2 linked regions of the Drosophila melanogaster genome follow. The protein of the gene in region 1 interacts with the protein of each later gene in a pairwise test. Each region holds a gene or a part of one and is shown in the gene's direction. Other genes may lie near its edges. The genes, in order: Tk and CG13032.

Region 1 (16,160 bases):
CTCTTCCATCGTTGCTGGCGCGCAGATTGCGTTCACTCTCTCGAAGCGCAACCAACTCTTCTTCCAACTCCTGTTCGCGGTTGGAGCCCTTATTTTGGTTTTTGCGCAGCACAGACTGTGCCTTCAACTTGTATTCGGTGTACTCTACTCGCAGGTCCTCCAGAGCTCGTTCCGCATTTCGAAGCGCCGTCTCCAATCGCTTTTGCTCTGCCAGGTGCATTTCCAGCTCCTGGGTTTGGCTTAGTAGTTGTTGGGTGGCCGTGTTTAGCTTCGATTCGTATTGTTGGGCGCTCTCCGACAGCTGGAGACGCAATTGCTCCGCCTCGAGCTTGGCCTGTTCAACGCCATGTTCCAAATCCTTGTTCTGAGTGAGCGCCTGTTGCTTGCTGTGAACTGCGTCTTTGACCTGGACCTGCATGCGATCAATCTGCTCCTTAAGTTCTAGGGAGTGGGCCGCTTCGCCGTTTTTGGCCTCCTCTAGGATAGCGATCTCCTTGCGCAGCTGGACGATGGTGTTTTCCTTGCTGGCCAGTGATTCCTTAACGGCTTCTAGTTCGCTAGACTTAGCTGTCAGCTTCGCACTAACTTCGCTCAGGGATTTTTCAGCTGCTTCAATTTCCAAATTAAGGACACTGGAGTGCTTTACTTTCTCCTTGGACTTTAGCTTCTGGTTTTCAGCTCGAGCTGCATTTAAATCCTGTTGCAGTTGGGCCTGTGCCAACTTGATTGCCTCCAACTCCTCCTTTAGGGCACCGCTCTGTTCCATTTCATTCAGCTGCTGCGTCTGCTCCTGCAGTTTCTTTTTCAGCTTGGCAGCTATGGCTCTGAGCTTATGGTACTTCTCCTCGTAGCCTTCGTCCAGTTCACGCAGGCGGCTTAGTTCTTCGGCTCGTGATATTGTGGATGTCGACAGAACATCACTCTGGGCATCAGCATTCGCCTGCTCCAATTCCTCAACACGGCTCTGGAGTTGTTTGATCTTCTGTAACTTCTCCTGCGCCGCCTGCTGACTATTAGATAGTTGAGCCTCCAAGTCTCGTTGTCGCTTGACCTCCGCTTCGTGCTGTTCTTGAAGGCGTGAAATGGCATCACCGCGTCCTTTGAGCGCCTCGTTCAGTTCCCGCATCTCCGTTAGCAACTCTCCATGCTCTTGCTCCTTGAGGTGGTATCGCGTAAGCAAATCCTCGTTGTGTTGGCGCAGTTCTATGCAGATGGCTTCCAACTCCTGCAACTTCCTCTGCTGATTATCACGCTCCTTTGCAATGACTTTGACCAGATTTTGCATTTGATCAAGCTTGGTCTGGAATAAGCTTACATTAAGGTTCCTGGCGTGATTTTTGGTGTTTTCCTGCTCCTTCGTTACACTTATCAATTGTTCCTTGTCAATTCTATGCTGCTGCTTTATAATGACTGCAAGCTCTTCGAGAGCGGTTATCTTCTTAAGTAGGTACTCCACATTCAAATTGCTCCTTTGGTTCTTTTGCTTCTGCTTCACTATTTTGGCTAGCCGATCCATTTCCTGAACTCTTTGCAGCAAGCGCTTGCGGTCAATTCCAGTGTCAATTGTTTGAGGATTATTGTCTGACTTTCCATTGTTCAGCTTCAGTTTTTCATTCTCGGCCTGCAGGGATGCCATCTTTGCGCACAACAGTTGCGAAGCTTTGATAATCTCCACCTGCCATTTGGAAACGGATGCGGCGTACTCGTGCTGCGTTTCCAGCAGCACGCACTTGCACTCCTTGAGGTTCTTCAACTTGCGGTGTACATCAATGAAGCGGTCCTTTAGAGAATTAAACTTCTTGCGTTGCTCAGAGTTAAGTTCCTTGATGTTTTGGTACTTTTGCTGCAGCACACTCGACTCTTCTTCCATCGTGGCGACTTGCTGGCGAAGACTAGCGTTTTCCGCCTCCGCTTCCTTAATTTTGGCAATGTCCACTTCCAAAAGTTCCAGATTCTTGCGCTGCTCGTTACCCAGAGCATTGACCTGTTGCATAGCCTTTTCCATGCGATCCACATTGGCAAGGAGGGCATCGTTTTCATCACTCAGTCGCCCAAGTTGGCGCTTTAGGCTCTCGTTCTCGATCTCGAATTGCGTCAGTCGATCGGCATCCTCTTTGGTCTTTCGTTTCAGATTATTCACTTCCTCGGTGAGGATGAGGTTCTTATCGGTGAAGTCCTGGACCATTTCCTGCATGGCTGGCAGGCTGCTCTGCTTCTCCGCCGCCCGTTTAAGGGCATCCTTGAGTCGGTGATTTTCCTCGGTGAGTTCTGAAAGAGAGTGGCTTGCATTATTCTGGAAGATTCCCTGAAACTCTCCATCAAACTTACCATCTTTTGCCTGTTTCGCCTTTTTAGCGATGTTGAGCAGGCCTTTGTATTTGCTGATGATTTCATCTTTGCTCAGCGCCTCGATCGGATTCGGGTTCTTCTGCAAATGCAAATAACAAGATGAGACGTCATCATCAATTCTAGCGACACCTTTTTACTCACCTGGGTTTCCCTCGGTGATGCGGCTTCCATGTTACTTGCTATTTTCGTATCCTTGCATTTAATAGCGGTCCAAACATTTATGTCTTAACTCAGATCAGTGGTTTTCCAATTAGCAAGCGACCCAGATTACTCGAAAATGTTTTTGGACCCTTAATCAATCCGAGCGAAGAAAACACTCCAGCCACACTAACAGCTGATAGGGCTGTCATCACCGCCCAATTAGTGATGAGCGTCTTTTTTTAAGAAGGTGACGCAAAAACGGAAAAATTACTAATTAAAATTAAATGAAAGAATAATATTGTCTTAAAAATATGTGCTTTTTAAGGATTTAATTATCACTGTTGCATAAAAAGGGCTCAACTTTTTAATAAGTATTATGAAATTACATTTTGGTCCAAGAACGTTACCTTTAAAATTAAACAATATGATTCAATAAATTTGTTTCACTACTATTGGTGTTGTTCAACTATCGAAGGAACCTCAACTATCGATTAATGTGACCGCTCACCACTGACCACCACTAGCTCTGCAGTACAAGCAACATTTGGCATCTCTACTGTTTATCATTTTCTTGATCCGTTAAAGTGATGGATTTGAGTGATAATAGCCAAGTGGAGGATCAATACTTTGTTTACAAGCATGATAAGCTATTCGGCGAGAGTTTCCCCCTGTTCAAGGAAATCCGCAGGATGGGCAAGCTGTGCGATGTCACCCTAAAGGTTGTTTGCGTGCAGACTGGGGCATTCAATCACCCGCAGCTCAGAGATACGTTCATTATCTAGCGTCTAAATATAAAATGCCATCCCAATTATTGCAGGTTGAAGATCAGACCTTCTCAGCGCACCGCGTTGTGCTGGCGGCCACCATCCCGTATTTCTATGCGATGTTCACCAACAACATGGCAGAGAGTCGGATCAAGGAGATCACCATGAAGGAGAGCGCCATAGAGCCAAGTGCCCTGGAGAGTCTGATCAACTATGTTTACAGCGGCCAAGTGCGCATCGACAACCAGAATGTGCAGAACCTGATGGTGGGCGCCAGCTTCCTGCAATTGTCCAACGTGCGGGATGCCTGTGCCAGTTTCCTGATCTCCCGCTTTCATCCGCACAATGTCCTGGGAATCCGCACCTTCGCCGACTCCATGATCTGCCGGCAGCTAATCGACGCTGCCGACAAGTATATTGATCAAAACTTTGCCAAAGTCTCGCAGTCGGAGGAGTTTCTCGCCCTGGACTGCGAACAATTGCTGGAGCTGATGCGCCGGGACGAACTCAACGTACGCACCGAGGAGGTCATCTTCGAGGCCTGCATGAAGTGGGTCAAGTACGCAGAAGACAAGCGCTCTGAGCTCTTTCCTCAGGTCCTGGCTGCAGTGCGTTTGCCATTGCTCTCGCCTCAGTTCCTGGCGGACCGTGTGGCCCGCGAGGAACTCATTCGATCCTCGCACCAATGCCGTGATCTCCTAGACGAGGCCAAGGACTTTCACCTCATGCCCGAGCGCAGGGGTCTGCTGCAGAGCTTTCGCACGCGCCAGAGATCCGGTGAGTTCTTTACCGGACAAATATACGCCGTGGGAGGACTGGCCAGCACTGGGGAATCTGTGAGCACGGTCGAGATTTACGATCCGCTCACCAAAAAATGGAAAATGGGCGAACAAATGTCCATGATGAGGTGAGTGTGCGAGGAGCATTTATTTCTATTCTATCCCATACTAATTGCCAATTTTTCGACAGATCTCGCGTGGGTGTGGCCGTTCTGAATGGCAAGCTGTACGCCTTTGGTGGATTCAATGGCACCGAACGTCTGTCCACCGTTGAGGTCTACGACCCGCGCAAAAACAAGTGGTCCCAGGGCTGTGCCATGCTCTGCAAACGCAGCGCCGTGGGCGTGGCCGCATTGGATGATTGTATCTATGTGTGCGGCGGCTACGACGGCGTCACGTCGCTCAACACCGTTGAAGTTTACTATCCAAAGTCTAACACTTGGAAGACTGTAAGTAAACAAACATTCTATGTAACCCAGATGGGTAAGAAAACTGATCCAACTTTAATTTCACTACCCGAAGGTTGCTCAAATGATGAAATATCGTTCGGCTGGTGGAGTTACCCAATTGAACGGCTACGTCTACGCCCTTGGCGGTCATGATGGGTTGTCCATATTCGATTCGGTGGAGCGGTACGACCAGGCCGAAGATGTCTGGGTTAAGATGTCGCCCATGCTGAATCGTCGCTGTAGACTGGGCGTGGCCACGCTGAACGGAAAGATATACGTGTGCGGCGGCTACTGCGGCAACTCATTCCTTCGATCCGTAGAGTGCTACGACCCTCAGACGGACACCTGGAAGCTGGTGACACCAATGAATTGCAAACGCTCGCGGGTGGCTCTGGCCGCCAACATGGGCAAACTGTGGGCCATCGGCGGCTATGATGGCGAGTCAAATTTGTCTACAGTCGAGGTGTACGATCCGGAGACCGACAAATGGACCTTTATGCCGCCCATGTGCGCACACAGTGGTGGTGTCGGAGCCGGGGTCATACGGATCGAGTAACCCACTCGATTCGCCTGCCAAACCCGTTTCTCTAGCCACACTCGTCTTAGGTAATTTATGTGAATTGAATCGATATAGTTTAGCCTAGATATGATTGTTGAGGGTAACCAAGCTTTAGTGGCACCTCGTGCGGCCGCCTCGTATGCAACTCAGCTCAGCTCTTGCAGCTCTATCAAAATTGTTCATATACTACTCACAGCTCTATAGATTTTGTCATTCCAGTTATGTAATTGTTTAGTTACTACGCCTAGCCTTAAATACTCATTACAATATTAATCCTCCAAATAAAAACATGTATAACGCATGTTATGTAAAAATTTATTAATGGTTGGTTTATTTTTGTAAGACGGGTAAAATAGTCCTATGTATAACTAAAATCAATTTCACACCAATTTAAATCATATTTTATTTAATTTAATTTAAATTGAACTAGACTCTTAACATTAAAGTTATCTAAAGACGTATTCTTTGTATTCATTTTCAGTCATTACCCTCGCCATTTGTAATCTTGAAATGTTTTAGAAGGTTGTTAAAGTTCAGTAATTTCCTTACAGTAAAGGGACGACTGTCAACCTTTTGCACATCGTATAAATCAATTGTGTTTCGACGATCCATATGGGCGGCGGATACGTTTTATTTGAACAATAATAAATGGTTGACAAATAACAAAGCAATCTGAGCGACAAAAAGGCGAAAATGGCGAGGGCAGCGCAAAAAGTTGATGGTCAATAAGCAGGCCTTTATGGAAGGCAGTGCACTTGTTTATTGTCCCTAAAATACTTTCAGTTTTAATTAAAAATGATTAAATATTATTACCCAAGTCCCAATGTCTATCTACAATTTTCTACTTATTTTGTAACGAATAAATGTACCTTCCCTCGTTGCATCTCAGTTGAACATGCGGAGTATCTCTTCCCTTGATATTTGTACACCTCCCACGCGCGGAATGCAATTTTAAATTCGATTTGCACCACCTGCTCAAAGTGCAGCGGCAGCAAAACTAATTCGGAGCAACAGGTGGCAATGGCGCATCCAAAAATAGAGGCTAACGAAACCAAACCAAAACAAAATCAATTTGCCGTCTATCACTGACCCATAAAATGCCATACGCACAGCAAAGGGTCATAATCCAATCAATTGCACACTTAACGTACATATTTCGCAGTTATCAGATGGTTCCAGCGATGGAGGACCTTATCGCCGATCCGGATACGATCCGGTCCTGTTCCCGATTGCCAATGGCTACATGTATATTTATGTGGCTCTGCAGCGGCACGGCTATTTGCACAAGCGAAAAGGCTTTGTGGCGGCGGTCTTATTTGATTTTGATAATCAAATCACAAATTGCTTGTCTATCGATGGGCAATTTTATTTTAATTAAATGCTAATTATGTTTACCAAATGGTTGGAGTAAATATTTGTTGCATCACCGGGGACAATTGTTTATCACCACCAAACTGGAGCTCGTTTAGTTGGAAATCCGTCTAATTGTTTGGAGGGTGAGGAATTGGCTTTTTTTTTGCCCCGAAATCTGTTGCAATTTAAATGCAAATTTTTCAGCGGGCTCTCTATACACTGTAACATTTACGACTCAATTGCCCGAAAAGGCGGAAGGCAGTCCTGCAAGAAAGGATGCGAAGATAAGATGCCTGCAGGAAGCGGCGATGCTTCCACGTTTAATTTTAGACCGAAAAACTGGCGTTGTAGTGGCTGCAAGTTGCAACGAGCTGGCCCCCGGATGTGTGTGGCATCCACTTGGCCTTTCCGAGTGGCGTGTGGAGGGATTCGCCTGCTGCGGGTGATGCGGGTGATGCGGGTGATCCGGGTGTTGTCTTATCTCAAATGCCGCGACCTCGCCTCAAGTGCATTGTTGATGGTCGCGACCCGTTGAAATCTGGCTGCAACGACTTTTCCGGCTCGTTTTGTGACGCATTTGAGACGAACCCGCTTGGCCGCTTTAAATTTGATTTATTTCAAAATGATTGAAATACGGCTCAAAAGTCAAAATGAGACTCCAGGTATGGAATGCATCTTATAGTTGCATCGAATCGAATCGATTCCGTAATAATTTTGATGTATTTAAAATGTAAAATATTCATGGCTAATATATTGAATGCAATCATAAATACTGCAATATATACATAAAAAAGCACAACATTCTTTTATAACCAACTATTTCCAAAGAACGTAGTCTATTTTCATTGCATATCTCGTTTGTAGCCAATAAATGTTTCGAACACCCAACACACTTTTTGAAAGGTCAATGTTTTGTTTGCTTTATATGCGTCATATGGGAACAATTTTAATTACAAATTTTTTGGACAAACAGCCCGGGAAAAATCAACAAAGTGCATAATTTTTATTTGTCCATCTCGCAGGCATATGGTAAATCATAAATATTAAAATAAACCAAAAACAGCAACGAGTACGGGACTACATACGTAATATAAAACGAAATTAATATTTCCTTATACGCGAAACTTTCCCATTTGGCCAGTTTGGATGCTGTTGCTCCCATTCTCATTTCACTTTTCGTATCTTTTGCTCCTTTTGTGCCTATGCCTTTTTCGCATTTTGCCTACTTTTTGCATATGTTTTATTCACATATGCAAACAGAATTTCCGTTCAATTCAATTGCTCCGGCGAGGAGGCAATTTTTTATTCCACGCTGAAGTGGCGGCCGCATAAAAGAGCACACACACCGCATCGCCACACTCGCACACTCACACACTCACACCTCGTATCGTTTCAGATTCTATTCGACCAATTGTTGATATCCACGAGCACACACACACACCCTCACACCCACACAAACACACACATACACACACAAGCCGAGGCAGCTCGTGTTCCGCTGAACTTCGTGTCCTGCCGGTCGGGCTTCCTGTTTCGTTTCGGCCTTATCCTTCTGCCGCTTTTATAAAGGTCCGTTGTCGCTTCGATCTGTCGCTCAGTTGTTGCATACTTCTCGGCGCGTTCGGTACGCGAGCATTTGGACAAACAGTTAGATAGAACTGAAAGTGAAAGATATTTCCCAAGCGAATTGGCTTTACTTGTAAGTGAACTTCAGCATGAACACTTTATTAACTCGGTGGAGTTTTTTGCTTAATATTTAACATGATATCTGCTCAAATATTTCGAGCAGTGATTATTTCTTCTGAACAAAACAATCATCAAATAGATAGAAACTTTGCAATTGTTAGTGATTTTTGGCGCGATCAAAGATAACTTGTATCTTTAAATATAAAGTAGGTTCGAAGCTACCAACTATGGTATTTTTAAAAGTAGTTTTCAGAAATTCTATTTAAGAAAAGCTTTTCAAAGAAATGATGGCTTTAAAACAAATTGCCTTTGTCATAATAATGCATTTGTCAAAAATTAGCTAAAAAAAACACAACACATTCAAACTTTTATGCTTCGGCATGTTAAGAGTAATGTTTGAGATTTGTTATCAGATTTTATATCCCATTTGATCTCTGGGGTCTGCTTAATATAATCAACAAGTTTTTATGACAGCACATTTGTTCAGTCTGACCATAAAACTTCTTGGGTGGCATTCAGCCAATTTAAAGGAGAGAAAACAAGACGTTTTCACTTAATGCTGACAAATTTCGCACATTAAGACTGCAGTCTATAGAGTTTTTAATGGAATATTAGAAACTAAAAAACACTCGCAATAATGTGTTAATTGGTCTGATTAACTGACAAGATCCTTCTAACGTTTGCGTGATATAAAAAAAAAGTTGACCAAGTTCTTAAGGACTTTCGCAGTCAAGTTCATTTTGTTTTTACATATTTGGGTCCGGCGGAAGCTGAAACATTGTTTATGGAGGATGGCCATCATCAATTGACAGCCAGCGGGCAGAGCTAATAAAAAGCAACATCAATGCAGGGCATCAGATTCCGGGATTGGGATGGCGATGGCACACATCCGGTGGCAGCACGCAACGCCATCCCATTAGGGAAGCACTCTCCCAAAAAGCCACTGGACTGGCTGGGTGGCCACGGGTGACATGAGGCGGCGCTTTAAAACTGCCCCTGGGTCTTAACTTGTTTTATGTCAACTTGGACAACGAGAACAGAGCAATTACAGCATGTGTAGCCAGCAAAAAAAAACACAAATACTTGAGCTGCAGCTGCGCCTAAAAGAAAGATCCTTTAAAACGTAAGCCACTGCATGTGAATGTGTATGTGTGCGAGTCAGGACTAATTAACTGTAGCTGCCTCACTCATTACGGCAACAAGAGATGGTCAAGTAGGGAGTGATTCTCCGGCCCGGGAGCACTCCGTGAAATGTCAACGTAGAGGTACACAGGTACACAATTTGGGTAAATATTTTATTACAGTTCGAGGACAGTTTGGGAGACCTGAAGGGCAATGAAACTATTAGTTCGTTAATTTAGCATAAATATTAATAGGGAAAATAATACAGAATGCGAAAAAATAACCAGCACTATTTAGAACATCTGTGCATAAGAAAGTTTAAAAATCCTAACAACTTGACACGCCTAAGTTTCTATGAACAAAATATATTTTGGGTCAGTTCATTGGAAAACTTCATCCAAAAATATCGCAAAATTCCACGACATGTACACATTTCAAAAACAACAGCGGTAATCTAACATGTTCTTAAAAAACACCGAATGCCAGCGGAAAAGAATGGAGTGGGATTGTCATAGAAAACTTTTGGGAACCTAAAAAATCAACGAACCAAGACGCGACTCATTTTCCGACTCGCCTTTGACTTACTTTGACTCATCATCAGAGCGTTTCTGTGGATTTCAATTTCAATCATTAGGGATTAATTTGGCCCAGGCACAAAGGTCACACATGGCAGGCCTGTAAATCCATCCCCGCATGCCACAACAGCTTTAATGAGTCTTTTACAAAAGGGATAACGAGGCAGACAGGACGCGTCCGTCTCGGAGTTGCTTTAATGTCTTGCAAAGAACTTAAACCGCATAAATTTACATTTAGATCTACATATACGGATGATGATGCATGATTTATGGCTACAGCGATGGATGCAAGTCGCAATGGTCCTTAGGCCGACGACTAAACGGTCCTCGCGTTCAGAATGGGGGTATCTCGGAAGTGCAGCTCCTGTGAGGCGGGTGTCTGCTGATACTCCACCACCACCAGTCGATTTGAGCCCGCCTTGAGCACGGCGGCCGGAACATACAGGGTGACTTGAGGTCCCACCAGGGGCCAATACCTGCCGAGATTTTCGCCATTCACAAAGACAATGCCCTTGCCCCAGCCGGACATGTCCAGATAGGTGTCCGCCAGATCAGATTCCTTTTGGATGTCCAGTTGACCGTGGTAAATGGCGGGACCAGTGCGCAGCATTGTGCGCAACTTCTTTAGCTCCTGGAAGCCCTGACGAACTGCCTCATCCGACTGGGTAATCAGCTGCTCCAGGTTGTCGTACGATTCGAGTGGGAATTGGGTCATGTTCCAGTTGCTCAGCACCTGCTTGTCCAGTCGAACATCCCGCAGGATGCCCTTAAAATCGTTCAACTGTCGACCGTAGTTGATGCGACCCTGGTTCTCTACGATAATCTGGAACCTCCGCCCGGCACTTGCACTGAGTGGCAATTCGAACACGGGGGTTTCCCTGGCCAGAATACCCACGAACTCACCATCCACATAAACGTAACCTCGATCCGCCAGTCCGGGAACGCTAAGGATGCTCGGATCCCGCTGGAAGCTGGGCAACCAGGTCTCGTAGAGCACCAAACCAGAGTACTGTCCCAAAGCCTCGAAGCTCTTCGGCTTGGCGGACTGCACAAATCCAGTGGAGAGACGAGATCGAGCCTCCGACGAAAGCAGACTACAGCAGGTGGTCAGACGCACAGTTCCGTAGGATCGCTTGGGTACGGGTCCGGGCACGGGTTGATTTGGCAGCGGGAGATAGCGGCCAATGATGCGTCGCAGGGCCTGGTATTTGGGAGTGGGATCCCCCGCCTCCGTCATGGGTGCATCGTAGTCGTAGCTGGTAATGTCAGCCATGTAGTTTCCGGGTCCAATGTCATTGGCACCAGCTGTGAATCCGAAGTTGGTGCCGCCGTAGAACATGTAGAAGTTCACACTGGCACCATGATCCAGCATGTTTCTGGAAGCCAAGGCAAGGTTATATATACGATATTATATATAAATATATATTAATTCTTTAAATAACACATAATAATCAATGCCCAAACCAAATTGGAAACTTACATAAAAGTGGAAGTAATCGATTGGGTGCTAACATTGGCCATCGGCTCCGTCCAGTGAGTTAGCCAACCGGGATAGTATTCCGCATTGACCAGCGGACCCTTTGGCTGGTACCTTCTAAACTTGGCCCAAATGGGCTTGAGATCGTTCGTTGCTCCAAAGTCCATGGTCGCTAGGACGCCCTGGATTTTTCCACAGCGCAGCACACTGGGTCCATCGTTGGTGAAGAGCACCGCCTGACCTTTGACATGACTCTCGGTCTCATCGCGTAGCCAATTCCGATAGTTGAGATCGCAGGCATAGAAGGAGCCATATTCGTTCTCCACCTGAACCATTATAATTGGCCCACCATTGCCATACAGATATTTATTCATTTTGGCAAACAGTTGGGTATACCAAATGCGAATTTCGCTAAGATAATCTGCCACATTTTTGGAATTAAGCAGTAAAACATAAGTAATCTTAAAAGTTAACAAAAGGAGTATCAATACTTACTGACATCTGCTGTCCGGAGCTGAATGCCCGGATACTTATTCAGCAGCCAGTAGGGAAAGCCGCCCATGTCACGCTCCGCACAAATATACGGACCCGGACGGAGGATGACCAGCAGATCCTCGCCCACGGCCAGGCGTATAAAGTGTTCCAGATCGGCAATGCCGCTCCACACATAAACGCCATCCCGCGGATTGTGCAATGACCACTCCACATAGCTTGTAGTTAATGGAAACATGACAATCGAACCATTAAAATCATAGTAGTGACTCACGTTGTCACCGCATTCAGACCCGCAGCTCTCATGGTCCTAAGATGCCTTTGCCAGGTGGCTGGATGAGCACGGAAGTAGTGGAAGGAGCCGGCAATGAATCGGAATGGTTCTCCATCCTTTAGGAACTGATCCTTTTCGTAGTCCACCACAAAAGTGCGATTCGCTGAAACAGCTCCTAGCAGCGGTAGTAGGGCCACCAGGACCACCACACTGAACTTCATTCTAAAGGATTGCAGTAGGAAAGATAATATATCAATTAAGATACTGGGAAAAAAATTTCATTATATTTATCATTAAAGCGATATAGATAATAATTCACATCTATTTACTTTGATTACTCTTACACACTAGCTTCGTTAGTACAAAAAAGTAATCATTTTATTCCTGATAAAAAGCGCTGCCAAAGCTATACAGTAATTGTAACTGTAAAAGTAATTGAAAGTAACAAAAAGATACGCAGCAAAATGATTAAATATGATTTATGTACGCCACCATACATAAATGTTTTATGCCATTTAAAGAAAGCGTATTGTGTGCATTCTTTAATAGATTCTCGAATAACTCAACAAATTCCTTTAAGTATTCTGTTTTCTCTGGCCAACGTTTATCTTCCGGATAGTCTGAAGACCCAGTCCGTTCCGCTTCCTAGTGAATCAATCTAAATCAGCCCAGTTGAGTTCATCGCAGTGCAAAGCGTGTCTCGTTTCAGTTGAAATGTTTCAATTGAAGTTCACGGCTCAATTGCTTAGTGACAACAAAACGATAAAATCTTTTGTTTGTTTTGCTTATGAATTGTTTGAAATTAATTCCATTTACTCAAACCGCCCCTGAACTTCTTGGCTGGAGCTCTGTTTGGTCTGCTGTTGCATTCCCTTCGGGTCTCATTAATTAATGCAAGCTCAGCCTAAGTCAATTATTTAATCTGGCTTCTTCGCGCAGAGTAGTGTTTCATATACAATTTGTTTTTTTTTTTTTTTCATTTCCACAGCAGCTGTTCCACAATAATAATGAATTGTTATTTCTGTATTCGGACACTCTGTTATGAATTCATTCTTATCGGCACCATTTGTTTGCTCTTCACTTTCTTCATTTTATGCGATTTGACAAACGAATGCTACGTGTGTTTGTGTTCTATTTTAATTTTTTATTCCCGATGTGGATTATTTTGATTACGCTAAACTATGAAATGTTGTTTCAGCATCATTATGCTTATTAAAAATCATTTTTGTGATTCATTATCCTCTGATGCTTGTCCGTCAACAGTTTATAAATGTTTGCTGCTTGGAAAGTTTTTTATAAATTCATATTACGATTCATTTAGGCATTTTAAAGTGCTATAATTGACTAATTTCGTCAGGAGGTTATTTTATTTAATGTTTGCCCCAATGAACTCAAAATTGCTCTACATCTAATGGATATAACATTTCCATTACTTTAGGAAATCTTCATTGCTTGGCTAAGACAAATACTCAATGTAATTAAGTCATGCCTTATTGACATGAAATAAACATTTTAATTGAATTAAGTTGAATATTAAATATACACAAATGCTTACATCCGACGGTGATTTACACGCTGTGATTCCGTATCTCTTATCACTGAATGGAATGACTCTTAAACCGATAAGGCAAGTGCTCCCCGCTAACCAAATGATCTCTAAATTAACCTGTAATAAATACACCTCCATCAAAAAACTTCCCGTATATGGGTGCCTAAGCTACGAAATTCGAATATATACAGTAGGTACCCAAGGGAAAATCGGAACGAGAACGCAACGTAAATTTTAGGCATCTGACCTAAATAGATTATTTTGCATGCCAGTTACCACCGACTTTACAAAGCTGGATTCCCACTGCGTGTTCCGCTTAACTTTACTGGCAATTAGACGAGAAAGTTGGCGATCGTCGCTTTTTTCTTTCGAAATAAGTCCAGCTTTTGTTTCGAAAAAAAAAGCCATCCAAACGATCTCCAATTATTCATATGACACTTACCTCGCCGATTGCAGCTACACGCAGTGAAAGAAGTGTTTGACTTTTTAGTGTTGATTTAGAGCACAGACGATATAAAAACACAGAATACGATCGCGATGGTTGCAATTACTAGGTGGAAAGTGCGCCAACTGTTCCGCTTGAAATCCAAATTCAAACTGATCGTGCGGTGACCAGAAACCGCGATTAAGTGCAGAACAGAACGAAGACGCGGCTGGCAACATGAGGCCAGCGCAATTGCAGCGCAGCGGCAACATTGTTGAGCAACATTTGTGCTAAACTATGGAACAAAGAAATAACTAAAGAAGTAGAAGCTTATGTATACAATATTTTAATGAATTCATAATGAATCAGAAACAACACAATTAGAGGTGCATTATTGGTCAAAACTGAAGCGTTAGTTTTCTTATTAACCACCACATTATTATTTCTATAGATTTAACCGACTTATAGCCAAAAAATAAGTGTTCTTATGAAACAAACCATTTGTTTAAGCCCTTTTAGACGGGCGTTACATCAAATAATCCTTGACTTTTAACCTACTACTATTGATGCTATCCCTTTTTGCATCCATTGTTTGCTGTTCAATATTCCGTGCCTCTAGAGCATGTCGAAGTCGTTTTCCTAAAAAATTAATGTAAATTTATTTAAAATCCACACGCATGCCGGTGGAAATTCGAAATTGGGCTGCAGCTGCTGGTAGAAAAGAAAAGGAGTCGATTTCAAATTATGGTCACGCCTCATTTTTTATGCATTAAGTGTGTGTATTTGCTTTGGCCTGAACTCTGGCCTCCTTTTCGCATGCAAAATAGGGTGACATGGAAATGCAGCCGCGGGCAATTGGCCGAAAAGTGAGTTTTTCATGTTGTTTTATTATTAATTTCATACATTTCGGCTGGGCCTCTCTGATTCCGTCCGCCTGTTGTTGGTTCACATTGCGTAGTCCTTGCTTACAACTGGGCTAATGGGCCCATATTACCCAACCACGAAAAAAGGCTCACACCCACACACACACACACGCAAACCAAAGGCCGAGCAAACAATGTGTTGGCCAAAATGTAAATCTAGACGTAGGACGACTTGGCACGTCTTTAATCTCGCACGCCTGTCGGCAGTTTAAAGTGTCCTTTGGGATGCACACACACCCCGAGGCACACACACACACACACGCACGTTCTGGGACAGAGAGTGTCCTACATAGACAATTAGACAACAGACACGGCCAAGTTAACAGCTTATCCGCATTAAGGCAGCGGTGGGAGTTGAGTTTTCCTAGTGCTATTCCATTGTCCAACTGCCGCCTGTCAGCCCAATGTCCTGGCTTCCTCATGTCCTGCCAGGACGTGGCTTGACGAGCCGTTACCAGGTAGCTCGAGAACCGGAAGTTCGCCACATTTGCACACTGTTAATTTTGCAGCAGCAAACTTTGCTGGAATTAGTTGGCCGCAGTGCGCACGGTGGGATAAAATGGCAAATTTCGAGGTAAAAGAAAATTCTTGTCAAAAATAATTGTAGTTTAAAAGCGCTTTAATTAAAATGGGAGAATAATACAAACAATAAAATTTAAAAGTAGCAAGTAGTAATGACTTTCACTTTAATAATATCCTGGTTTTTTAAGCAAACTGCTCATGCCCACTGTTCGTTTAAAGTTCAGCCGACATGTTCTGATGCTTTGACATTTGAGAGCCTCTCCTCTAATCCCTAAAACTATATTTTTTATCCTTAAAAAAAAACATCAAACTTTGGGGCCTTTCAGCACTTTGGCTCCATTCCAACTCCAAGCAAACAGAGCCGTCGTAATCATAACAACGATGAGCCCTAAGTGCCTAACCCACCTGTTGATTGTGGCAAACTCGACATCAATTGAATTCAAATGCATTTCGCTAAGTTCAATTGAATTGCCTCTGCACTTTTCTGCTCGATGCTGCAATGTTTGCTTGTTTGCGGTTGTCGCCGCCGGTGGCAATCAATTGAATTACATGTTTGTTGTTTCCTGTGCGCATCGCATCGTTAGAGGTCGCCACAGTTTTTACCATCTATTGCTCCTGTTGCAGCTGCCACTTCGACACCATCCGCCCCCCCCCCCCCAACCTTCTTTCCCCGACGGGCTTAAGCCACCAGGCCAGGGGTTTATTTGCATGGCAATTTCACT
Region 2 (15,645 bases), on another chromosome or scaffold:
CGGTAATTTCTTACTTGATTTTAACGGGCCCTATAAACTGGGCCGAAGTATTTATGACAGCTTACAACAAAGGAATGGAACCCAACCAATGTCCATTGACCTCCTTACAAAAACGAGCGGATAGCAACAGAAAACTATATCGCATTTCGGCTGATTGGTAAAAAAAAAACAAATAACATTACTCGGCCTGACAGCTGCCAAATGGAACGTGTGGCTAATCTTAACAAACGGTCATAAAATTGTATAATTTATTCACAGATAATTTTTTTGTAATTAACTCAGCTTACGTGGGAGTTATGAGAAGCGCAGAGAAGGGATTGCATCAGCCTTAGGGTGACAATATGACTAAAATTTCGAATTAAACTGGAAAATCTATGTATATATTTCTTTCATCATATATGAACAATGTGAGCCGTTCTTGCTGTATTATTGTGATATATCTAATTGGAATAGCCCTTGAAAGGTCAATCAATTTGTGGTCCTTTGCCATAAAGTTAATTTGCATTATCTAGCCGACGTGCAGTCTGATTTGGGTTGCCCAAATAAGTGTGTGATTAGCACAGCCAAATATAGAATGGAAAAATATTGGATATTCCGCAATGATATCATTCGCCCACTGATACGAATTATATGAGAAAACCTGTATATACCCAAAATTCACTTCCCACATTTCTTATCAAGCTGCTGCATAAAGGTTCCAATTTCGGGGCAAAAAACTGTGATTTTCGTGGCCATTCGAATTTCAGGTGGAAGTGTCGGCAGATAGGAGACATATTGTTAATCATTTATACCAAGACCCAATTTCGTAGGAACTACAAAACCAAAACCCACCTTAATTTCATGGTTCTGAATGTTGTACCAATTGTGGCCGATCGATTATGCCTTGGTTAAGTGGAAACTTCTGACGTCTTGTTTATACACTTGCTGCTAGCTCTGTTCACTGGCACACACACACACACAATTTGTTATTAAATACTTTGGATTCCACTGAGTTTCTGTTTTCTTTGGCCGGGAATGTGTTTATCGAGCACTTGAGTTCTTGTCACTGCTATAATAATATCCATTTGTCTGTATCACTGAACTTTCAGCTCTTGCCTGTGATTCAGGGTTCCCTGTTGTTTTTTTTTTCCTGCCGGAATACGTCTAACACCGTTTTATGATCACACAGCACTGAAAGTACCAGCGAATGGGTTGAATTCTTAAATATCAGTTCGTTTCCATTCAATTCCCAGATAAGGTCCCCCAAAAAGAGAAAGAGCGAAAGAAAGAGCGGGCAAGAGAGAGAGAGAGAGCTCCATCGAGTGGGCGGATGGGTGGTGGTGTTGGCTTTGGGGACGAACGGGAGAATCATAGCCACGAATCGTTTGTTAATTGCTTGTACGGGTGTTCAAAGTAAGAATGTACAATATCAGTGATAAGATATCAGGCCGAGGGTAGCTCACAGCATATAGAACAATGTCCGGTGTGGAAGAGAGTTATTTAACCGGAGAGTTATAGTTAACGGTTTCACTCAGCTCTTAAGCGCACCAAATTGTCAAATCATCGATTTAATCGTAAGAGTATCTGAATTTGCCAGAATTCATTTACAACACTACAAGCACAGCGAGAAATAGTTTGAGTTGTGTTTCAAGAATTAGTAATCATGATCTACGCTAAAGTGCTCTGATAAATATCAAATTTACCAATTTGTTTATGCTAACTAGATTTCTGGGAATGTAAGATATAAGCAACTAATCTTTTTCCCGTTTATATAGATTTCGGGTAATAACCAACTATGAAAAACGTCAATACTTTGAAAAACCCATATCGACAACCCTCTATATTAGAAATATTTCTACTCCAAATTGAGCACAAGCCTTACAGTTTTGGAATGCCACTTGTCCCTCTTCAGCACCAACAGAAATTACACTTGATCGCAGGGGAGGATTACGGGGGTAGACCGTTTGTTTGCATACTGGAAGAAGAATTGTTTTGCAACTATCTGCACTCGAAAACAGGGCACTCGAAAGAACATGTAATTAAAATACAGGGCCCCCAGTAACACAATTCAAACGGGTAGCACAACAACCCATACCAGTCCAGCTCAATTCAACTGGTCCGATCAGAACTCAGGCCTTATCGCGATAATGGAAGATAACTGGCCAGCCAGCCCGAGAGGATTTGACCCACTGTCAGGGATCGTAAATTAACGGTTCGCCATCGGGCTTCGATCGGGCACTCATGGTTCACGGAGGTTCACTGCGATCTGGGTTCTCGATGCGTTGAACCCATTGACCGATATGGAGGACCGAGGTGGATCTGACCTGTGGGATTCCTTGGGGGGGTGCTTCTTGAGTTGCTGGGCAGCACTTTGCTAAACCCCACTCCACTGCCAAGGTCGCCGGCTGCTCGAGCCATCCACTTATCGGACAGTCGATGTGCTCTGATTCCATACCATCCCACACTATACATATATGGTGTCTTAATTGTCTGTTTGCAAGTCGTCTGGGAGCTGAGAAAGAGTCACGCTTCGAGATAGAGACATTTGGGCATGGCCCTGCAATAACCGCGAAATTTGTGCGAAAAGCGAAAATTTTCCTACCCATTGAAGGCCATAAAGTCGATTTTATGGAACGGGCCCCCTCATTCGATATTAGCTTCACTTACTGGGTAATGCGGGCATGATAAAAAGTAAGGAAAACCAAAGCAGTCGCCTTCACTTCGCCGTAATTCGTTCAGTTTCAATTAGTTGGCACGTGAAGAGTTACTACTAATGAATTTTGCGGAATGGAATTTAAACTATTTTGTTTACCACAGGCGAGATTGAAATTCAGCGAATTAATGGCAATCGTTCAAAATATATATGTACACACCCGAAAAACAAGTCGCCAATCATTTCCCAGTATCAGTCGTGATTCGATTCGATTCGATTCAACCTCTCCAGATGTTGTGGGTTTCCGTTTCAGTAGACAAGAATCCGAAGTCAGGCGCACAAATCGTATGACTGACTGAATGCCAAATAGTCCTCTCCCGAAAATACCAGCGCGTTGGCATTATATAAATCTGATGGGGCTGGCGATCGGGATCGTAAATCTTAATCCGATTGGAACCCATTTTTTGGAACGGTGGCGCTAATCATGTGGAACCTCTTTCTGTGCCCAAGTAATCTCAATCTTCCCCCTGATAGTGCAGGAGTATACTTGAGAACCCGATATTGGGTATAAATTAATGGGGTAACTGTACTTTAAGGTGGCATGGGGATGTACTTTGCTTTAAATGATCTAATACCTAAATATGTTAGAAGTTAAAGTATTTCCAGAAAAAAACGATTCAACTTTTTCCATCTTTTATTCACGACACCTAATCTATATATCATTCCGAACGTATTTCAAAAAGAAATATAGGTGTTATATTAGCTGAGTAGAAGAACCCATGAGATCCTATCTGTGATTCGAGCAGCCCCTGTCATCACCCAACCACGTAAGCAGCTAATTCCGGGGACGTTGCGCCTTTGCCAGAATTCCTGAACGTGATCCCGGGCAATCCATCCATCAAGTGCGGTACCGATACCACAGCTCCTACGGCTGATAGATATGTACATATAGCTGTGTACTTTACTTACCTCCCCAACTGACTCCCCCCACTTGGGTGTTATTTGTCTAATTCGACAACACAGAAGGCAGATAAACGCGAGGCGCTTAATTTTGCAATTGTTATTGTTTTGGCTGCAATGTTGACAAGCATTTGATTAAGGAACGATGGGTAAACGGGGGTGGATGTGGATGTGGGTGGATGGATATATCAGTGGGAGCGGAGCACGTCTGCGGTTCATGGGTGGTGTACGTTGGATGATGGACGAGCAGCAGGTTGAAGTTGAATGATAGCATGTTGGCCATGCGATCGAGAGGTGGGAAAACAAGTGAATCACAATTGCTAGCTGTTTGTTTTTTATTGTTTGGTTAGATATTAAACGGAGTTACGGAATAAGGCAATTTAGAGAGATGATATGTAAGTCCCCCAATTGAACAAGTCTTCGTTAATTGCCCTCTTTTCCTGCAACGCAGAACTTCATTTCATAACTAAAGCTTTTAATAGCCCCATGCGATGGCGAAGAGGTAATCCATTTGGTTGTAATGGCCATAAATCAAACAAATATGAGTTTAAGTGCCAATGCCCTTACATTGAGTTTGCCAGAAAACAAAGCTGTTGAAAGCCGTTTGGAACTGCTTCTTCAAATAGAACTTTTTTATGCGCCCCCCTACTATAAAGATGTTGAGATTATCGGTGCTTAATCGCTTAATAATTAGCACTGCCTCGTAAAGAGACTTTAATACCCTAGCACTCCCAGTTTTAGGTGCCACTTCAGGCCAAGTTGCTTGGACACCAGCTGGTCACGTGGGTTTACGACATACTTTATCCTCGTATCTGGAGACAAGTGGTTTCGATTTACCCCATCTGCATATGATTGGTGATTGCGCTGTCAGTTGCAACATAATGCCTGCCTGCATTATCTTATTGTAATACTGACCGATCTGCGTTGCGTTGAATGGGTCAGTTCTGGCATTATATGGCTACTTGCGCTACTTCATCGATTAAGCAAAATAAGAATTATTGTGGACTTCAGTAACACCATAAAGTTCTGCGATAAGCCATAGCAGCTCGATAGCAACGAACCTGGGAATACTCTTTAATACATTCAGTATTAGTCTGGAAAGTCTTCAAAGCTTTTATTAGATTTGCCTAAATACAGTCCTTGTTTATTCAGGTGATTTCCCTTATCTAAGAACTCGATTGCATACCACGCACAAAAGATTTATAGTGGCGCAAACGGAACTTGGCAGCTCCAATCGCCCGTCGGTGCCTTTGGCTACTCTATGACACACCGAGTTAGTAGTTTAATGCTAAATTAAAACATGCAGTGCTCTCCAGTTAAATGTATGTATTATTATATGCTTTACAACTAGGCGAAAACAAGTGGGCGCTAAAAGAAGAATCGAATGTATTGCGACAACGCGGCACGGAAGTGGCTTCCTCTCTTCCGCCACCCCATTTCACATCACTTCAGAATGGACCATTTGAGTTGTTCACGTGCCGATTGCAGAACCTAAAAGATAGATAGCACACACATATATAGATACAGATACTCGGCAATAATTTCGATCAATTAGCTAATGAAACAAATCAAAATGAGCGCGAAGTTCCAGAACATTTTCACCAATTTTATTTTGAACATTCTCGGAGTACAATGAATGGGGCGATATGGGGAAAAGTAATCGAAATTCGGTAACATGTACAAAAGGTAAAAAGAAATTTACGCCGACACAACTACTTTAAATTGTAATAAGTAATATTATCTGGAAGCATTCATTAAAATAGGTACAATTTTACAACATTTAAACACTTTTGTTGAAACTGAAAATAGATCGTAATTAAACAAAAATGCGAATAACAAATAAATCTAGGCAAATGTGTAAAGCTTGTAAACTTATATTAACTCAGTTACTAACTACATATAGTCTTGAAAAACAAAGAGCCTAATTATTTGTTCATAGGGCGGGTAAAACTAAATGAGAATATATTTGACTGCAGGGTATCAAATTGCGAAACGAAACCAGACAAAATTAAAGTACAAACGGCTACCATTGAGTTATAAACACTTAGAAGAGCTACCAAGTAGTTAGACTACCAAAATAGACCATTAAGGGTGTTAGTTACCTGGGCAACGGTCTGTTCGGCAATGGGAATGTCATCGTTGCGCAGATCAACGCGTTTCACCACCGACGAGGGATCCGCATCCAGAATAATGCTATTTGGAAAACGGGTAAAGGTTTAAATAGAATATTTGTATTTAATAATATGTAATGCATAATATACAGTGATGAATGGCAAAGTATATCTTTTTGTACCTCAGGTGATTTCTAAAGCTCAGCCTATAAACTTAAAAACTTATACGAGCTGCATGCCTAGGATGCCAGTGCTCGTATGTATTAGTTTAATCTTTAAGTTTAATATATTTTAATATTTAGTTTGATTTATATAATTAAACTTTTGTACCTATACCCTAACATCGCAGTTATCATATAACTTTTCATTGGACTTGACTAGGTTTTGTTAAAAAAAAGGAAGCTTTAAATGCGGTTAACTACTTAGAGGCTTCACTTGAGCTGGCCTAACTCATAGACTAGTAAATAACAATGTTATTTATGGGAACTTGTGTAGTAATAATTTGATGTTTTCTAAACGAACTGCTGCTAATGAAAGCTGCTTTAACTTGGTCCCTTGTTCTTTCCATCCATCACTGTATACGCTAATACACACCCTCCGTCGCAGATCTCGTCAAATGCCAGCATGATGATCTCCAGGTTTTCCAGCACCAGGCGCTTCTCAACGTTCTTCTTGAGGATCAGGCTAATGGAATCGTAGAGGCAGTTGAGCACGGACAGCAGGATGAGCTCGTTCTCGTAGGCGTTGCCCATCACGTAGAAGAAGAGGTCCACGTTGCTCTTGTACACGCAGGTGAGTCCGTCCAGCATAATGATCTCCGTGTTGGAGCGGTGCGTCTTATTGAACAGATTCTTTTCGAAGGCCTTCTGCTCCTTCAACGTGGACAGGATGTTCTTGTCGTAGTACTTGGCCAGGATGCGGTTGCCATCGTTGTCCATGATGCACATGCCCTTGATGATATCCTGCAGCACATGTTGGGTTTGATTTTAAGCCAGTTACTTGTGTATTTTGCAATTTACCATCATAAATCCGTCCATCTTCACTTGTTTTCGTGTCTTACACGTCACTTTAGTATGACCATATTGCGACCGCTAAATTATACCAACTAAACAGTACTGCCAACTCGAGTCACAAAATAAATAGCTAGATACAGTTAAAACTATCTAGAAAAACTGTTAAAATTTTTGAATTTTAGCTAAGCCGTTATCGTTGTTTTATTATTATATTTTAAATTATAATTTGAAACACATGGGGGGCTGGCTTGCTTGACGTTGGCCGTACTTTGCTGGGGTATTTAAAATAAAATAATGTAAATGTAAAAAAAGAATAACGGTTTAAATGTAAATTATCCTGTCTTAAATAAAACAACAGTTTGGAAAGATCAAGAAAAGAATTGTCAATGTCAATTTTATTATTGCAGAAACTCTGTTTATTTTTAACTTACCTATTATTGAAGAAATCCTGATTATGACAAGAGTTCCAAATTTAAAAATTGCCTTGCCTTTGATTTGTCTGTTTCAAATGAGGTTTAAATTTGAATAACCTAGAAACAACTGATGACAACCAAAATTTGTGAATATTTTAGTAACAAGAACAGGCACACGTACAAATTATTTTCGCCCAGCCAACGAAATTGTTAGATTCAATTGTGTATATTTTTATGTGAACAACTAGAGGGCATTGCGATGGAGACTTTGCCGGAAGAGTATGTAGCCCATCGGGATCAGGAGCTGTTGGGGTGCAAAGTGGGCCGTTCCTCTCGACGTCGGCATGACCATGATGCCATGGCCGCTGCCCATGTGGTGCTGACCACCGCTGTGGTAAAACCAAAGCCAACAAAGCCGGAGTCCAAAAAGCTGCGCAAAAAGCTATCCGAATGCGAGCAGGAGAAGCAGTCACTGGCCCAGGCCATTCATGAGAAGAATCAGGAGATATCCGACCTGAAGAAATCGGTTGATTCGCTCAACGAGGTGCTCAACTCCGTGCCCATTGATGAGCTGCGCTGCAACTCCTCCATTGCCAGCACCAAAATCCTGGAACTGAGCAAGAAGAACCGCCAGATGCGTTCCGAATTGGAGCAGGCAAAGAGTCGGCTGGGTAAAAAGGATGCTCAGATCGAGAAGCTGGAGAAGGAGCTGCGTGCGCACGAGGAGAAGCTGCAGCATAATCAGGATCTGCCAAAAAAGGGCTGCTCCCCCGATGAGCTCCAAGCCAAGATCAACAGTATGCAGCAGAAGCTCTTCGAAACGCGAAACAGGAACACCGAGCTACAAAGCCAACTGAAACTGGCCCAAAAGTGCCTGCAGCACGAGATCGGTGAGAGCTGCAACATCAACATCCTGGCCAACAATCTTAATCAGGCCAATTGGCGCGGTCGTGCTCAGCAGATCATCGCGCTCAACCAGAAAGTGCACGAGCTCAAGGCTCGCTTGGATTTCTACGAGGACCGAGCCGTAGATCGAGCCGAATATGCTGCCCCAGTGCCGTTGGGTTCGGATCTGGAGTTGGTAACCGGCAGCTGTCGATCACATCATGCCAGCTCTGAGAGATTAGGTGGAGGCGATGGCGGCGGAGCCACAACGGCCAGCTTCGATCGCTTTACACCGGGTGTGCGTAAAAGTGAGATTCTTCATCGAGCCAAGGTGGAGGCTCTGGAAAAGGAGATTCTTAGCCTGCAAAACCAACTGGAGGATCAACGCAGCAAGACACTCGCCCTAAAGGTGAGGAACAAGAATCTGAACGAGGAGATGAACAAGTACAAGATTCTATACAATGAGCTGGAGGAGCAGACCGACTTCAATGGCACCAATATCAATACCATGAATGACAAACTGAACCAGCAGAGGATTCAGTACGAGAACCGTTTGGACGACATGCGCGGCGAGCTGGTCCGGGTGACCGAGGAGCGAGATCTTTCGCGCCGGCAAATGGAAGAGCTGAGCGGTATGCATCTGGAGCTGCAGACGGTGGTCAAGCAGAAGGATGTGGCCATGGCCAGTCTGCAGGATATGATCAAGAAGCTGGAAATGGACCTGCGCGCCCTATCCGGCGGATTCCTCTTCTCCTGCCGCGAGTTTCGAAAGGTAAAACTCTGTACACTAAAACATAAGCTATTAATTTGCTTAATTATATTCCGCAGGAGGAATTTGTGGGCATCCTGGATGCTCTAGAGGTGGAGAAAAATCAGCTTATGTTGCTCACCAAAACTCTAGGAGATCGTCTGGAGACGGAGAGAGCCAAGAACGAAGCAGCTCAGGAGCAGATTGGCAAGTTAAAGGCCCGTATCAGCCGACTGGAGGTCAAGATCAGGGACCTGGAGAAGGAACTCGATGTGCAGTCCGATAAGAAGAAACGCACCCAGCGAATGGCCGACTACGCCAGTTCGCTGAGTCGCACTTCTCTTAACGGATCGATTGGTTCCTTCTGCTTCGAAAATCAGTCCCAGTACCAGTCCACAAATACGCTGAATTCGGCAGGACAGCCTGAGCCCAGAATAGAGGATCTAAAGAATAAGTAAGTTCGGACACGGCAATCCCATCGCTTAATCAACTATAACTACTTATATTTTCAGTCTTGAACTGGCCAAGGAAAAAATCACAATGCTGACAGAGAAGCTGGAGTATATCACCGAGGAGAAGAACGCAGATGCCAAATTTTTCGAGGACACCATCAACAGTACGAAGACCATTATCCTTGAAACTGTACTTGGAGCTCGCGAAAAGGGATTGAGCGATCGTAGCAAAAATGCAGATAAAAGCACGAGCGAGACTTCCATTCAATAATGAAGATGAACAAAACCACGATTTTTATTTTGATTAGTTTTTATGTTCTTTGCAATGCTAAAAAAACTGGACGAGAAGTCATGCCATATACATATTTATATGTAACTGGAATGTTATTAAACTTGCATGGCATTGCAATGCACATCATTGATTCTGAAGTACCGAAAACAATGAGTTTTAAATTTTCATAAATTTTTATTTGATTTGTAACACGTTCACAAAACGAAGCCTTTGGCGCTGCTTCTATTTCAGGATAAGATTAGATTAATTCAAGTATTTGTTAGGTGATTTCTTTCCACTCGAAGCATTTCCAATTGCATTATGCCTATATAATTGTTATTAATTGCTGTCTATAGCTATGCATGTGTGTGTGTGTGTGTGTGTGTGAGTGTCTTGTAAGTTAAGTTAATAATACATTATATATAGCTTGACTTGCCATAGAAAAACGATCCTGCAATCACATATTAAATTAGTTTTAGTTGCCGTTTGTAAATTGCTTCATTATTTGCGTTAGAAATTCGTTCTCCATTGCTCGCGTATGGTATGAAAATGTATAAGTTACAGTATAAGTATATTTTTTTTTATTGATTCTTTAATGCATTATTATTGATAAGCCTAGTAAATTGGTTTTATCTAAAAAACACGTTTTAGCAAATTAAAGGCACTTTCAAGGATTTCTTTTGTGAAACGAAACGATATCTCCACCTTATTCTCTTTCTTCAATTTAACACTAGAAACAAACAATATATAATTATTATTCTCTTAACAAAAATATTTATATATTAAAAACATGAATTTCCCCCGCAAAAACAAGAACAATATCCTTCAAGTCCTCCTCGTTTACACAGATAAATTGACAAAATTGTAGGGATAAGGACGCGATCAGAATCCGAGTGGATTGCTGCTAATGCGAAAAGCTTTCAGAAAGCCGAAGAAAACTCGGGGGAAATTTGTGTTAGCGCTATTGCCCCGTGTAAGTATTACTTTGAGAACTTCTAATTAAATTAGAAAACCTTTGCCTTGGGATTTTGCTATCCACAACATGTTATGCTGAAGCACTTTAGCTAATCGAATTGTTTATAGATATCCGTACTTGTATATGATTGGTAAGCTATAGTGTACGATTAGTTGGTTAACGTTTTGTATATTCTTCAATAAATATCTGTATAAATTTGATTTATTAAGGGCTGTAGATAAATGCAAACTTGGCTGGGTTAGCTTGGTCGCTCAATTTCTTATTGGAATCGGTGCAGATATATGTTCCGCTGACATATATTAGCCGATTCATAGCTGAAACACATTCGACTCTCTGGCTGATTTCTCATAACTCTGCTGTGGCTTTGTTTATTTAATAAGATGGATATCGGATTGTTGGTTCTTGGTTGGATTACTAATAAATTTAAAATTAATTAATTAATTTCCCTCTTCTCTTTTTACATAATCCGCTGCTTTGCTATATATAGTATATATATATATATATATATATCTATGTATGTAGTGGATGCAGTATAAGTTAATGCACTAAAAATTTAAATTTTGGGCTGTTGGTTGGGGCGTGTGACTCCTCCACATCATCGCCGTCGCCGCCTGAATACATGATTAAAATAGTAGTAAATGTCCTGCTCGGCTTGCTGCTGCGGCGTCTTTTTGGCCAACTCCTGCTGCTGCTTGGAATCCACTTGCGGATGGTAGTTGCTGTAGTGGTTGTAGCCATGCATGTCGTACGGATTGTGGTGACCCGGATGCATGCCTGCTGGCGGAGGGATTCCTCCACCTCCGCCGTGCCGACCGTTCCTCATCATTAGATTCGCGTGCATGTTGCGATCCGCGATAAAAACGTTGACGAAGAAGGCGAGCACGAGCAGGATGTAGAGCAGGCAGACGAGGATCACCACAAACTGCTGGCGGCAGCAGCAGTAGTAGAACATTCCCTATTATATAACCGCCTGCTCCACGTAGTTGGCGGGCAGCATGCCGGTCTTGCCGGTACGCTCCACACGTCCGGTCATCCAGCCGGAATCGATTGACTCCACCTCAAAGATGACGTCGCCCTCGCGGAAGCTGACCTCGTCGACGTCCTGCGCCTCATAGTCATAGATGGCCCGATAGACGCGCTAAAATATGGGACATATAGTTAAAAATAACTTTGTAATAAACAATAGACAGCCAACAAAACTTACCATTGCTGTGCTCTGGCGCGATTGTTTTTCCTGCAGGGAGGAGTAGGATGGCTGCTGGCGCATCTGCTGTTGCTGCGGCGGGTGCTCCTGCTGCTGCATCATCTGTACCTGCTGGTAGTACTGCTGGTGCTTCTGCTGCTGGTGAGCCTGCTCGGCGGCGGTGAGCGATCCGTAGATGCCATTGGCCGGATCAATATCGGAAACCGAACCAATCCGCTTGGGGTAAACGCTGTTGCCTGTGAGGACATAAAAGTTCTGGACATTAGTTCTGTTTAGGCTACATATCTACTAGCCGGGGACAAGGACAAGATGAGTGTGTAACATCGAGCTGAGCGCGCACTATCACTACCTCGAACTACCAGCTAGCCTGCTCCGTAACTTACCACCTTGATTGCCACGTGGCTCGGAGCTGTAGACCAAAGTGGTGCTGGACCGTCCGGCATTGGGCACCACCCTTGGTCCATCCGTCAGTGGATCGTAGTCCGCTATCTTCCCGATATTGCTGCCGCCTGCCACGTGCTGTTGCTGCTGGTTCGGCATATGGCCATTGCTGGCGTGCTGCTTAACGTTTATTGAATTCTCAGATGGAGTCACAGCGGCGTAATTGGGAGACGCGTATAATTGCTGCAGGTGATTTTGGGCAGCTCCTGGGCCGGCTGCCACTTGTTGCTTGCTATTGCCATCGTAGGCGACGACACTGGCCGCCGAGCGTCTCATTTGTGGCGGCAACATTTGGTTCTGTGAGCCGTGTCCATTATTATTGATGTTGCTGTGGTGGCTGTGCGAAATGCCGCCGTTGCTGGCATTGTTGTTCAGTAGGCTATGATGGGATTGCTGCTGTTGGGCAGCCACCAGCGTGGGGTTGGTGCTCTGCTGTTGCGGCTGATGTTGCTGCTGCTGTGGCTGGTCGTACTGATCCACGGAATTGCCGCTGGGATGATGCGAGTTCTGGAGTATGGCCGAGCGCATCTCGTTGTAGCTGTTGAGCGCCTGCTGCTGCGGATTCGCCGGCGACTGTGGTGGCGGCATCTGTTGCTGCTGGGATGTTGCTGTGGGATACAGATGTGAGGCTTGTTTAATGGCTTGCTGTTGCAGCAACTGTTGTTGCTGCTGTTGTTGTTGTTGCTGTTGCTGGCGCAGCGCCTGCGGTTGTTGGTAGTGTGCATAGGGATCGTGCAGTTGCTGCTGCTGTGCCCGCTGTTGCTGTTGCTGTTGCTGTTGCTGTTGAAGTTGTTGGTATGTGGGCGTTATGGCCGCTGTGTTGTATTGCTGGTGTTGTATGGGTGGCGGTGGCAGAGTCTGTTGCTGCTGTTGCAGATAGTGTTGGTGTTGGTGTTGCTGCTGCTGCAGTTGCTGCTGATGTTGCTGGTACTGCTGCTGCTGTTGGTGTTGCAGCTGTTGTTGTTGCTGGTGTAGTGTTGTCGCTGCTGGCGGTATGGGTGAGGCTGTGGGTGCATATTGCGAGAATTGTTCAGCTGCCAATTGCTCTGAGAAGTATTCCGATTCATCTTTTCGATTTTTTCGATATTTATCGATTTCGAGGTGACGATTAATTAGTTGCACCATTGTCCACAGTCGTTGTTGTTAGTGTGGATGTGTGTGTGGTGTTCGTTTTGTGTGTAACGTTAGGTTAACGGTAGTTCAGAAAGCACACAAATAATGTTGTTGATTTTATTGTTGCAGTTGGTTGTTGATGGTGTGGGATAAATGGCAACAAATGATAAACAAAGTCCACAACAAAATAAAAGGAGAGAAAACAAACCATAAAAAAAACGGCATTATAATCAATATTAATTACACAATGTGACAGATGTGATGGAAATAGATACAACATAGTTAGATGGACAGTGCAGAAGTTCAAATTCAGACACACATGCCACATGCATGTCCACAAAGTAAAAGTACAGTGGATACAAAATAAGGTAAATTAAATAAAATAATAGAAAGGAAAGAAAGAAAAAGGAATTTATACTAAAATTCCGTATTTTTTTTTTTGAGGGGTGGTAATTTTGAGTGACATTCAATGTATATTTAAATGTTTAATTCAATTAACAAACAAATCAATAACAATCGCTACACAAGTTCTTTGTAAGCTGGCTTTGTAATTTTGTCGTGACCATTTGAATGCATGCATGAGTGAATGACGTCAATAGACTATTATAAACACATTAAGTCAATTGAAATTCGAATAAATTAATTCAAAAACAGTAAGCCCGGCCCACCACCAACTGACCGTTATTAAGAGAACTAGCGGTTGCAAGCAATAAAGCTTCGTTACCAGTGATGATGAGTAGGAAAGATACAATAGTTACAGTCCTCTCACAGAGATGGAAATAGTGATAGATACAGATGGAGGGGTATAGGGAGAAGGTCGGTCGAGTACTCACTGCTGCTGTCGGAGACCTCGGCGGATCCTCGCTGCTTCTCCATGGCCGCCTTCTTCTCCAGATCCCCGTGATATGCCACATTCGATATGTGCTTCGTGTTCTGTTTGATACGCAGCGTTTCCGGGTCATCGGCCACCTGTCGAATGCAAAAGCAATTTAGGTAAGGGCACACTCCAAATGGACGGATGGAACTTTACATATATCAAAAGCATTATCTCAAACTTGGGTTGGATATATCAATGTTCTTGTACTGAAGTGAACTTCACAAGGGCCGCGCTTTAGTTATATTTAGTTAAACATGTCAAACAGAATATTGAATATTTCAAAGAACTATCCATCGCGCAAGTAAATTAAGCCTAATTAGGCAATAAACTTCCATCAGAAGTATAAGTTCTTTAAGCTTATCTTAACTTTTTCCGCACTGACCTGTGTAAATTTGCCCTTGGCCTTCTCAAAGTCCGCGTGGTACTTGACGTTGGACTGGATTTTGGTGTTCTCCGCGATGCGCTTCAATTCGGGCGTATCGGCAATGGCCGTTGCCTTCGCCTTCGGGATGTGTCTGCAAGAGGGAAGAGGGGGTGGTGTTAGGTTATAGATCAGCAGAGTTAGAGAAGTTAAATCTAGTCGCAAGCCGTTGCAGTTGCACAGCCGCTCGTTCAGTGGCATGCCGCACATAAAGTTCATCATCACATTCGCACACTGCCTTTGGCAATCTGAGCTCTCGCTGAAAATTCTCCACGCCAGCTGGCCTCAACTTGGATTTGGTTTTCGAATTCACGGAAATTCCGCTCGAATGGTAGTGGGTGGAATGAGAGATGCTGATGCTGCTGCAGGGGAAATATACATATGCATATTCGCATGTATTTATACTTATATAAGGCCACACAGCATATCCATCTCTGATTTCACGTTGGCTTCGTGTGAAAACCTCTGACCTCGCCGCCTCTGCTTTTATCAATTAAAACAGTGCCCCAAAACAGCAGAAAAACTTCGTGTATTTTATGTGGTTTGATTGGGGTTTCTTTTTTAGTTACCCTCTGGCAAATAACGGGAATGCACTTCCAGTGATTTTTCTGTGGCTAAATGCAAGTTTATCAAAGCCTCAGTGGCTTACTCTTAATTCGCCATTAGCTTTGGGGGCAGCTTTTCCCCGCTTGTCTAGGCACAGTCCTAATCCAAATAATTAGCATGGGAATTAAATGGAAGACCACAAAGCCAATTTATATATGGTCCAAAGCATGTGAAAAGCATCCATCTCCTTTGAGGATTGGAAATTCTATGGCAAAACTATTTCATTCACATTCATAGAAGAAGTATCTTTCTGACGAGCATTTTCATTTATATAGATTTAAGGAGTTTTTTTTTATAAACACACCAAACTAAACTAATAAATATCGAAGTAAAAAAAACGTTGAATGAAAGCAAAACACAATATCGTTGATATTATTATAGCCATTTTTGGATCAATTTCCCTTGCTTTGTCCCCACAGGCTAATACATCAATTTAATTATTGGCAGCAGCAAGGAAAAACATGGCGCATCTGTTATGCGAAAGTAATCATGGCGAACAAACAAACACAACGCAGTTCTGTG

What was found.
Region 2: the proteins of Tk (region 1) and CG13032 interact in a two-hybrid assay, tested with the Drosophila melanogaster proteins (one large-scale study listed by BioGRID).

The regions. Positions count from the first base shown.
Region 1 is NT_033777.3:11,997,291-12,013,450, reverse strand, and holds the start of Tk (tachykinin), read left to right. Parts: upstream 1-7,977; 5' UTR 7,978-8,093; intron 8,094-9,934; exon of another isoform or gene 9,935-10,093; coding exon of another isoform or gene 10,094-11,153; intron 11,154-11,257; coding exon of another isoform or gene 11,258-11,675; intron 11,676-11,749; coding exon of another isoform or gene 11,750-11,964; intron 11,965-12,020; coding exon of another isoform or gene 12,021-12,241; exon of another isoform or gene 12,242-12,242; intron 12,243-14,011; exon of another isoform or gene 14,012-14,173; intron 14,174-16,160. Other genes in the region: GCC185 (GRIP and coiled-coil domain containing 185 kDa), read right to left, coding at 1-2,268, 2,329-2,428, 2,491-2,520; KLHL18 (kelch like family member 18), read left to right, coding at 3,078-3,209, 3,308-4,161, 4,224-4,482, 4,556-5,038; Ect3 (Ectoderm-expressed 3), read right to left, coding at 10,094-11,153, 11,258-11,675, 11,750-11,964, 12,021-12,241. UniProt on the Drosophila melanogaster protein: Tachykinins are active peptides which excite neurons, evoke behavioral responses, are potent vasodilators and secretagogues, and contract (directly or indirectly) many smooth muscles. Stimulates gut muscle contractions.
Region 2 is NT_037436.4:16,666,760-16,682,404, forward strand, and holds CG13032 (uncharacterized protein), read left to right. Parts: upstream 1-7,204; 5' UTR 7,205-7,388; coding exon 7,389-8,786; intron 8,787-8,842; coding exon 8,843-9,216; intron 9,217-9,274; coding exon 9,275-9,485; 3' UTR 9,486-9,505; downstream 9,506-15,645. Other genes in the region: Galphaf (G protein alpha subunit f), read right to left, coding at 832-842; zetaCOP (coat protein (coatomer) zeta), read right to left, coding at 5,036-5,083, 5,695-5,785, 6,298-6,665, 6,723-6,740; CG43954 (uncharacterized protein), read right to left, coding at 11,057-11,413; lasp, read right to left, coding at 11,420-11,599, 11,666-11,901, 12,049-13,173, 14,053-14,188, 14,479-14,611.